3 linked regions of the Bombyx mori genome follow. The protein of the gene in region 2 binds, or shares a complex with, the protein of the main gene of each other region. Links are inferred from orthologs where the notes say so. Each region holds a gene or a part of one and is shown on either strand. Other genes may lie near its edges. The genes, in order: protein SEC13 homolog, GATOR complex protein Iml1 and GATOR2 complex protein WDR24.

Evidence for each region.
Region 1: GATOR complex protein Iml1 (region 2) and protein SEC13 homolog share a complex: the UniProt entries of both Drosophila melanogaster proteins name them as parts of the GATOR complex. The link is inferred for Bombyx mori from reciprocal best matches to the Drosophila melanogaster genes Iml1 and Sec13.
Region 3: GATOR complex protein Iml1 (region 2) and GATOR2 complex protein WDR24 share a complex: the UniProt entries of both Drosophila melanogaster proteins name them as parts of the GATOR complex. The link is inferred for Bombyx mori from reciprocal best matches to the Drosophila melanogaster genes Iml1 and Wdr24.

Annotation. Positions count from the first base shown.
Region 1 is NC_085131.1:3,994,054-3,997,812, forward strand, and holds protein SEC13 homolog, read right to left. Parts: upstream 2,413-3,759; 5' UTR 1,596-2,412; coding exon 1,026-1,595; intron 637-1,025; coding exon 265-636; 3' UTR 199-264; downstream 1-198. Other genes in the region: uncharacterized protein LOC101741756, read left to right, coding at 2,413-2,484, 2,563-2,622, 2,692-2,865, 2,945-3,088, 3,168-3,530. UniProt on the Drosophila melanogaster protein: Functions as a component of the nuclear pore complex (NPC) and the COPII coat. At the endoplasmic reticulum, SEC13 is involved in the biogenesis of COPII-coated vesicles.
Region 2 is NC_085116.1:10,885,358-10,889,116, reverse strand, and holds the start of GATOR complex protein Iml1, read left to right. Parts: upstream 1-1,361; 5' UTR 1,362-1,516; coding exon 1,517-1,559; intron 1,560-1,637; coding exon 1,638-1,775; intron 1,776-2,428; coding exon 2,429-2,598; intron 2,599-3,448; coding exon 3,449-3,715; intron 3,716-3,759. UniProt on the Drosophila melanogaster protein: An essential component of the GATOR subcomplex GATOR1 which functions as an inhibitor of the amino acid-sensing branch of the TORC1 signaling pathway.
Region 3 is NC_085114.1:15,886,538-15,890,196, forward strand, and holds part of GATOR2 complex protein WDR24, read right to left. Parts: intron 2,122-3,659; coding exon 2,033-2,121; intron 1,647-2,032; coding exon 1,487-1,646; intron 921-1,486; coding exon 748-920; intron 367-747; coding exon 144-366; intron 72-143; coding exon 1-71. UniProt on the Drosophila melanogaster protein: An essential component of the GATOR subcomplex GATOR2 which functions as an activator of the amino acid-sensing branch of the mTORC1 signaling pathway.

The sequences.
Region 1 (3,759 bases), on a different chromosome or scaffold from region 2:
ATACTATCAAATTGAAAATTATTGTGTACATTGACAATAGTGACTTCATCTCCTCAGCCCATGTTCAATACATACAGTAATAATAATCATAGCAATTTATTTAAAACCTGTTAGATATGTCACAACCCAATTATTGGATTATCAAATTGAATATATAGATTAAATCTGGGTTTTGATGAAGTTTATAAAAGATCAGTGTTAATGTACATATTTTATATTACTATTAGCAGATTACAAAATTAACAAATGAAATTAAAAGCAAATTCAAAGTGTGCTTCTTTCATCATTGGGTGTTTGGCCCAAACCTTTGGCAACTTCACTAATACATAACCACTGGCCATCAGTGCTCTCACGCCAAAGGCTGACTTTGTTATCTCCTCCTGATACAGCCAAGATGTTGCCAGTGAGAGACCAGCTAACACTCCATACTACATCATCAAATGTGTTTAATATTGTTGGTGTCCAAGATACATTATCATCACTAGACCATATGACAACCCTCTTGTCTTGGGAGCAGCTGGCAATCATGGAACGTTGTAATCCCAGAGAGGGTGCCCACGCTACATCTCTGACCCAATCAATGTGCAACTCTAATCTGTTCTCTTCAACCCATTGATCACCTTGCTCTCTCCAAATCTGAAAACAACAACCGGAATAACTAACTAAAAAAATTATAATTAAGAAGCATTATGATGTCATTAAATAGTAATCATTAAATACAGGGTTTATTAAGAACATATCGATAATAAAGGACAAGGTAATTTTAGGTAGATATATTAAAAAAATTCAACTAATTATTGTTGAAATATATCTATTTTCATTTAAAATTAACTAATGCATGCAATATATGATATTGTGAAAAGAAAAATTGCTGCCTTCTTTTTTTGCCTTATAAATAAATAACCCGGAATAAATCACACACATTCATCTGGCCCCAAATCAGGATTCTCTGTGGCGCAACAGTTAGGAGTGCTAACTACTGTAATACAGAGTCAGTAAACAATTAAACACAACTTGTAACATACCTTGATTAAATTATCACACCCTCCAGTAACTAATCTCTTTGGAGCATCTTTATTGGTAAGCGGATCTAAGTTCAAATCTGCAGATAAAGCTGGGCACCAACTAATAGAATTAACACCAATGGCATGTGCACCCGTTATCTTTTTTACGTCCCAATTACCAGTATCTTGTGAATATTGTATGATAGAGATTGAGCCATCTGAACTACAACAAGCGAGGATTAAGCCGTACTCAGCCGGCGCCCACGCAACAGAGTTCACAGAGCTTTCGTGTCCAGTGTATTCGTATAGTTTAGTCCACTCTCCAGACTCTTTCCATATGATAACTTTCCTGTCATAAGAGCATGACGCTAATAGGTTCCCATACTTGGGATGAGCCCAAGCTACCTGCCACACGGGGCCAAAATGACCCTTCAAATCAGCAGCCAATGTTTGTGTACCATTCTTAATGTCGTATATTTTCACTGAATTATCCGAAGAACATGTAGCTAGTTTTAGTCCGTAATAATCCAGTTCGGCGTCGTGTATCATATCTTCATGGCCGGTATCAATAGTATTCAAAACAGTGATCATTATTATATATTTTTATTAACCTACACAATACACAACGGAAAATGGGCAATCAACTGTCAAATCAGTTGACGTGGAATTTCAACAGTGCTACCAGTAAAATATTTTGTATCCATCCACACGAGCTATTTCGACATTGCAAAGACAGTCGCAGTGCGTCACCTCTAAACTTATTAGGTAAGTTTAACAATATAATAATAAAAAGTGGCAGAATTAAATTGCAGCTTCAACATACGCGACGCTACAACTGAATTATTCTTTTTATCAATTTTGTTATGGAAGCTAGAGATTTTCTTGATGATTCGAGATTATTGATCACATAGCTCCAACACAGTCTACAAAAAAGCACAAATATTTTAGTGCCAGAATGCCGCTCGTGTGTTAGAGGTCATAAATTACCTCTTTGGTATTATTTGTTAACCTTAGGTTAGCACAATCTTTGGTTAAGTTATTTATTTCTTTATTACTTTTTGCGCGTTACTTATGAAGTATCTCCCAAAAGTTTTAAGCATTTATATTTATAGCTAAACCTAAACTGTATGAAGATACTTTTATTGACATATCAAGACTAGGCCTCAAAAAAATTAAAAAATCTATGCTTTATGTAAGTAATAACCAAAGATTAAACACTGTGTCAGGTTACATTTGGTAGTTAACCAAAGATAATAAAGAGCTCTAGTAGAATCAAACAAAAATTCTGACAAGTCTGAAGCTGTTTTTTCTCTCATTCATCTAAATTCAGAATTGGATTGAAAATATTGATGAGCTAATTTACGAAAGTTTAAGAAATTATGAGAATTTCGTATCTGTAGACATCAAAATGTCTCAAAAAGAAGGAGGAATATTTTACAACATGCAATATTTATTACAACAAGATTATCGCGGGGTTAACGTATGTAGATAATTACAAGTTGATGTTGATAATAATAACTTTGTAAACGAAGCACTATCATCTGATTGTTGTTTACAGATAGCAGTATATGCTCTAGCCACCGCTGGTCTCGCCATATCTGTTCATAAGATTCGCCCTGTAAGTATTTGTTTAAAAAACCCTATATTAATAATTACATAACTATAAATAATAAAATTACTTCGATAGGTTAGCAAGTTTTCGAAAGCCAGTAAAGTTCCAGATCATTTCATCAGAAATCATGAACCTTTGAAAGGATTATATGCTGGAGTGCAACATTCACCAGTTCGTGTTCTGGTCAATCACAAAGCCCCAATATATTTACCGCTATGGCATTCCAGTAAACCTCCACTACCAGTTAAGGTAAATGTGATAAAAATATAACTTGTACGAAAATTTACCTACAAAGTAATAAAAATATTTTCTTTTTGTTTTGTTTTAGCTGTGGGGAATTGAAGTAGTTAGTGGGAATGCAGTCAATTGGCTGGAATGTGTTGCTAGGGGCCAGCAAGTGACATTAAAGCCAATCGGAAGAGATAATGATGATCTAGTTTCTACTGTATTATTGCATTTACCTCAGCCTAAGGTATATTTCAATTTAAACAAATTCAACAAAATACCTTAAATTATTAAAAATTACTCTTCAAAAATGTTTTCCATTTCAGAGTAAAGATGTTCAAACATTGGATATTGGTAAAAAATTGGTGGAGCTTGGATTTGCAAAAGCATCATTTCCTAAAGAATTAAAAAAGAATACCATTGAGTCACAAATTGCCCCTGCTCTATTATCAGCAGAAGCACAAGCAAAAAGCCTCAGAAACGGCATTTGGTCTGAGAATCTCCCACCAATTCCAGCATATATCGTTTATTGGAGAAAAGGTTCACAGCTTACTTTGGAGTTATTTGTATTGACAGCCAAGAAGTTACTGCAACTGTTAAAATTTACCACCAAAAGTGCTTTAATAGGAACAAAGAATTTAATATTAATTCCATTCAGGTCAAAACCTAAACAAGTACAAACATCATGAAATGAAAAACATTCGTATAAAGTCTAGTTCAGAAAAGAACCAAATGAGTTATTACAATTATAATTATTCGGTTTCTCTTCAAAACTAGTGATGTTCCTTCCATTTATATAGTGAAATAAATTATCTTTGTATACATTTAATGTTGGTAAATAAAAATTACTAATTCGTTACTTAAATTGGAATTTTATTGAAACAAAATAGATTTATGTAAAAAAAGCTCTTTATTCAA
Region 2 (3,759 bases):
GACATCTTTGGATACTCCAGTAACATTTAAATGGGTGCCCTCTCATAGGGGTATCAAGGGAAATGAAATTGTAGATGGTATCGTCAATTCTAATTATGATGAGGATCATACTAATTCATGCAGAGTTCCTTTTACGGACTTTCTTTTTGACCTAAAACAAAGAAGTCGCAAATTATGGGAAAGCTATTGGAAATTATGCTCAAAGCATAAAGGCAGTTGGTATGCAGAAATCCAAAAAGAACTTCCAAGTAAGCCATGGTATGATAAATATAAAGGAGCCAAGGAACGTAAATTTATAATCATTATTAATCGTTTGAGGTTTGGCCACTGTCAGACTCCAAGCCATTTATTTCGTTTTAAAATTATAGATAATAACAGATGTACATACTGTGGAGGAAATGAGGCCGACTTATCCCACCTCTTCTTGAGTTGCCCGACTTTTAAATTTCAACGTTTAATACTAGTAACAGATATTATGAAATTGATGGATTTTGATGAGAATAATCAAACTAAACATGGAAATTCTTTAGCAAATAACCCGACAAGATCAGCTTTAGACTCATTACTCAATGCAAATGGTAGTCATCAATGTCAACATTGTCAACCATCACAAAAAGAAATTCCCCGCCGTGTCCAAGATTTACTGAAATGTCCAGTTTTATTTAAATCTATTTACTATTATATAAAAAAAAGTGTGTGTGTCCGCTCCGACGCACGACTGGAGTTAAAAAACTGGACTGGATATAAAAAATTAAACGAAACAATACGAGAAATAGTTCTATATTACGACAACACGATACACTACAGATTATTAACAAATTAACGAGACACAAAACAAACGACTAACAAATATATGAAAATACAATAATGAGAGAAACGCGCGATCAGTACGAGGCTTTGTGGCGGACTGCCGGCGCAGCAGCCCGGCGTCACCTGCGATAACGCATTTCGTGTGACATGCGCAATCAGGCGCATAACGCATTTCGTGTGACATGCTAGTACGATTTTGGTCCCCATAATTTTCATACCCCGGGCCTATATATGTAAATCGATTCTAAAGGAGTAAACTCCAAAACACGGTTGAGAAAATTTAAAGCTCATCCTTGTTTTAAATAATTTGATTGTATTTAATGTTAAGTTAGTATAGTTATTTGTGTAAGATATTTTGTTATACCTTTATTTTAAAGTGCCAATGGACTTTGTATCCGGCTAATAAATAAATTAAAAAAAAAAAAAAAATGACTTCGTAGAACTTACTTTTTGGCGGGAACGCGAGGAGTGAAAAGACTTAAAGGTCTTAGTTGCCAGGTCATAAAATCCCTTTTAAAAAAATTCGTAGAACAATAAAAATTTTGCGAATTGTCTATGCATTCAATATTGTTCTCTGCCTGCTGTCCATGGTGTTTGTTTGTTTGTGCTGCATGCATACTTACCGTTAATGTTTACTAATATCATTACGTGAATATTTTAATAGAAACATTTAAAACATGCCATTTGAAATATTAGAAATACGACAATGAAGTCCTTTAAACTCATTGTACATCAGTCTAGTTTTAGCCGTAAGTGCTTTTTTACATCTACCTACAAATATTTATAGTTAGGGCATACAAATTCAAAATTTTTATGATTTTTTGTAGCCGAAGATTTGATTATCAACTTGAAAGACTATCCAGGGTTAAAGGAAAAAGATATAGTCGAAATTTATCATCCCGAAAATGACTACCCCCGATTATTACTACAAGTTACAAAAGTGGACGCCCCCGGACGCGGCAGAGGTAAGCAATAACATATAAAATTAATCAAAAATTCTTGTAATATAATATAAAATAAGCTGTGCATTTATTTTATGTTCCCAAATTTATTGCGTATATCATATGCAGCAGCAAAAAAATTTAACATACAATTGTTTTAAATAATATAAAACTGTTTGTTCTATAATTAATCCCATTTCAACTTGACACAAAAATTCTTCTTCATAAATAATAATTTGTCCTAAGATGATTAATTATTAATAAAAAATACACTTTGAAAGTTACTTCTGATATAGATTCTGCCTAAATGTTTTCCATATGTATGGAACATATAGGAAAAATCTTAGGTAAGGGTTGAATGTTATTTTATTTAAAAGTGAAAAAAAAAAACCAATATACCCTCAAAATATTTTATTTCTAAATATATTCATCCTATTTCTCCTAATATACTTATCTTGTCAAGTTTGTTAGTGTTCTATATATTGAGATACAGCTGTTTGAATAGCAATACTGCATGAGATGAAAATATGGTGTTAATGATAAAGTACTTGTATGGTGTGACAATACATGCATTGAATATAATATTTCTGAATAAACACACTCCTTATTGTATCTATAATATTAGATAGATTCCTTAAAAAGTAATGTTGATGCTTATTAAAAACTTTAACTTTTAGATACAATTAGTGTGGAACAAAGTATTGCTACCACTTTCCAACTCCGAACGTTTGCTGATGTCTATGTAAATATAGTCAATGTGCAAGATGTGGCTTTGGATTCAGTGGAATTAACATTCAAAGACCAATATCTCGGAAGATCCGAAATGTGGAGACTTAAAAATCACCTAGTAAGCAAATTCATTATTATTTTACAGAAAGAAAAAAACCATTTAAATTACCTGCTAAAATTAATACAAAAAAATATTTTGAAATCGGTACTAAAATTTAATTTTACTAGAATTTTAGTACCATTTCCAAATTATTTTTTATCCCTTTATGAAAATTTTATGCTCTGCTTGAAGCTTCAAATAATTACAAGGTAATTTGTAAAATACCACCTCTGCAGTGTTGAAATGTGTAAATTTTTCATGGTTTAAAGCACAAAATGCCAAGTAAATTTGTATCAAGCAACTTGACTATCATGGGTTAATCTTTTCTAAGAAAATATTTACTTTGTGTTCATAAAAAACTTTATGATGAAGAAGTAGGATTATAAAAAAAGCTGTGAAAACAATAGAGACTTAGATATCATGTTTCAAAGTGGGTGGGGGCATAGTGACATTTGTAAGGGTTCCAGTAACCACTTGACACTTCCAGGGCTTATGAGCACATTCACCCATTTATGGAAATAAAAATTAGTAATATTTAAAACACTATAAATTTCATTGTAATACTATTATGGTTTAAACACTTTAATTTTATTGTCATTATTTTATTGCTAATATTTGGAATATTTTTCAGTTTTCATGGTCACAGAAGACTAAGGTCTTCATTGACTATTAAAATTGTACTAACTCTTACTATAAATGTAACTTTTATTTAATAACAATAAAAATGTAAGATTAAATATGAAAGGAAATTGAATTATGTCAATGACTTGAAAAAAAAAATTAAGCTACTAACTAAAAGAGTTTTGCCTCAGAATATCACAGAATTATTTGTCTGTTTTATATAAATTTCTGAAAATATTTACACCAGGTAAGCACCTGCGTTTATTTAAACAAGAAGATAGAATATTGTGGTGGTGCAATTAGATGTCAAGTATATGAAATGTGGTCACAAGGGGACAGAGTTGCTTGTGGGGTAATCACTGAAGACACAAAAATAGTGTTCAGATCATCAACTTCAATGGTCTACCTCTTCATTCAAATGTCTTCTGAAATGTGGGATTTTGACATCCATGGTGATCTGTACTTTGAAAAGGCAGTTAATGGTTTCCTCGCTGATTTGTTTGCCAAATGGAAGGTAATAAAATTTAAATAATATAATAATGCATTTGAGCTCAAATT
Region 3 (3,659 bases), on a different chromosome or scaffold from region 2:
TCGCGCTCTGGGGGCTCCCGGGGCGGCGGCCTGCCGTACACGCAGCGCACCACCTCCCACACGTGCCCCACCTGCAAGAGCCAGTCCCGCACGCGGTAACAGCGCCGCTAGTGTCGCCACAGTCCCGGGGAGTGGGTACGCACCATGTGCCGGTTGTAAGCTCTGGCGACCTTGGCGTTGTGCTCGGCGAGCTCGTGAGTGGGGAGGCCTCTCATCTTGTACTCCTTGGCGCAGGCCACCACGCAGCACGGTGGACGACCCTCGCCCGAGTACCTGGTGAGGATGGAGGCGGCGCCCCCGGGGAACAGGCGCTCCAGTGCGGCCTGAGCCTGCGGACGCAGCGAGCCTGCGGTCGGCTGCTTTCGGCTGAGGGGTTTAAATATATTCACCTCAATAACGTCTAATTAATGTGTACATTAATAGACAATAACAAAACAGTTTACAACATTGATACTTCTGTTTGTCAACAAACGTTCCCTTTTTTTGGCATAATAGCTGTTGACGGATTTTAGTATTAATTATCGCGGGATGTCCACACACAAATCGATTAAAAAAAAGTAAACGAATAGTGGTTCACGTTAGCGCCGTAGTGCCAGTTTAATGGCTTTTAAAGCCGAGAATGGTCAAACACCCTGTAAATGTGTAACGTGTCAATTGACATTGCCAACAGCCCGGACTGCGTTTACGTTAACTTAACTAAAATAAATAAAGTAAGTATATGAGGTGCGGTGCGGGGGTGCGTCATACCCGAGCCCAGGTACGTATCGGTCGGAGGCGGGGTTGGTGTGCAGCGCGGGCAGGGGGCAGTCGGGGGCGGCGTGCGTGACGTCACCGCGCGCGGACACGCACACGCCGTGCGGGTTGGCCCACAGCACGGGGTGCGCCGCCTCCGAGAAGCGGTGCCGGTACAGGCTGCAGTCCTGCAGGCACGTCACGTTCATGTCGTACCACAGATAATCCCCCCAAAAATTATAAATTATCCGTGTTTCATACGAACGCTCGATTAATATTACTGCTCAACGCCGATATTAGAAATGCCATCGGCGTATCTATTAAAGCGCAGTACTCGATGGAAAATCTACCTAATATTAATGACAGCAAAATTAACTCTTTTTCGACCAGCACCAGTTATTTTATATTAGAATATCGACTAAGATTCTTAACGGCCATAGATTAGTAACAATTCGGAGAGTTAGTCGACACAATATCTATTTACTCGGTTAAGTAGGACATTGGAAACAAAAGTGACTCACTGATTAAGCACACAAAAAACAGAACCCTTTTTTGTCAATACCTATATACTTTAATATTTGGGCTCGGAGCTCGTGGTCTACTAGGCCGTCATTAACTAAACCTTAATTAGAACGCTAGCGAAGCCTGGTATCCGCTGGAATCCAGAACCACCATACAGATGCGGAGCGCTCACAGATCAGATACGGAGCGAGAATGCGAGACGCGCATATTGCCAAGAGCTGTGCAGGCTCACCCTGCTGGTGGACAGGAAGGTGTTGGGGTCGTTCTGCCAGGCGATGGCTGTGGTCACGTCCCGGTGCTCGGCGAAGGTGGCGAGCGGCACGTGCGGCCTCCTCACGTCCCACACGTGCACGGCGCAGTCCAGCACCAGCGCGCACGACGCGACCTGGTACCTACACGTGCACTTGCCGCGTGAGCAGGGACCACGAGAGACCAGCTCGTATTGATCTTAAGGCTTCGTCAAACAGAACGCGTACATAGCGCGCGTCCGAACGCTAAACTGACGGCGCGCTATGATGCCGAGATGTGTTGTACTATTATGGTAATATACTGCCAAACATAGCGCCAGTGTAACAATTCTTCCACAACTGAATCACTCGACTACTAAATACATTTAAATTCTCACACTGCTATCGAAAGGCACTATGATTTGGCGGATGTTACGTTGCGTCAAGGAGCGTTGGGCTCGTCTAGTCAATTTGTGTGACGTTAAAACGCCGCGCTAAGTACGCGCTCTGTTTGACGAAGCCTTTAATCAGTAAACGTAGCGTATACTAACTTTTTCTGCGGTCTCCACTTGACGTGGCCCACGGACGCTATCGTGTATATAGTGTGCTCTAGGTTGGGCTTGGCGTGAATGTCCCATACCTATAAACACTACACGGTTAATGTAAACGTAATTAATTTTAATATAACCAGACAAATATGAGTTTCATTCGAAGCAGGTCGAGTCCAACGTTCTTTCTAGGCCCCTCCCGCGAGTGACTGGGTTTTGAGATAGTTGTTATATTTCAAATACAATTGAAACTTCAATATGTGTGTGCCGCATGTTCCGAACTCCACTGCCGATCCAACGGTTAGCTTTTGTAATAGGTAGACTTTATTCCGCATTTTTATTAGATAGGACGGGCAGCCAACTCACTACCCACACGACGTTAAGCGGAGCCTAACTCAAATCGTTAAGCCGTATTATCAACTTAAATGGACAAGTATACGTGTCATCCGGATCTTCTTCTTTTTCTCCACCTTATCCCACTATGTGGGGTCGGCACAGCTAATTTTTCTCTTCCATTCTCTTCTATCAGCCGTCATCTCAACACTCACTCCTCTCTCTCTCATATCGTCATTCACACACTCCATCCATGTCTTCTTTGGTCGACCTCTTCCCCCTCTACCTTGCACTACCATTTCCATAAGTGTTTCCTAAGTGTCATCCGGATCATCGAGATGAAATTCAGACGTAATCATTAACAGCTATTCATAATCAATTCGTTAACAATGAGTAGGGTTCAAATGAAGATAGCCTATACCTATCAGGGTTATCAAAGCTGACTTTAAATCGTCTCACATATCGAGACAAAGAAAATGAAGTTATAGCAAATGTTTTAAGATTCATTTTTACCTGCCGAAAACGGTACATTAGACGTTTAGGTGTTAGTATTAGGATCCTATCTATGTCTGGAAAGCGGTAGTTTAAATGCAACCGTGGTCTGTGCTGTTAGGTGTGTCTGCTTATTTATTATTGTTATTATTTTTATTACCCTTGTAGGCAGACGAGCATACGGCCCACCTGATGGTAAGTGGTTACCGTCGCCCATGGACTTCAGCAATCCCAGGGGCAGAGCCAAGCCGCTGCCTATTAAGTGTATTTAAGATTGCTTATAATTTCAAGATTTAATTAAGTGGAAATGAAGCTCTTATTTGCGCTTTAAGACCCGTACGCAGGCTAGCGAACTATATTCAAAAACGCCTAAAGCTAAAATCTGCTTATTGATTTGGAAGTGGTGACGTCGTAAGAACGCCATGAGTTCGTATTTTTTTTTTTTTTACCTGTGCTGATAGCCTTGAGAGGCTATTTCAGCTTCACCCTACATGTAGGTGAGCTCACGGGGCTCAAACCGGAGTGTTGCTAACACTGGCCCTGGCAAGAGCAGTGCTTCGCAGAATCTACCACCGGCGAGAAACTCAGTGGGCTTATTGTGTTATAGTTTATATATATAGTAGTCGTAGAGTGCCGGCAGAATACTCAGAGAATGCTTCTCATTATCCAGTGATCTCGTTAGTTCACAGCCAGAACATTAAAATGTAAATTTAGATCGTACATACAGGACCCCGACCAGCAGGCAACACTTGTATATTACAATCACAACGTTTGCACGTTTTAATGCTGATAAAATACTAGGTCG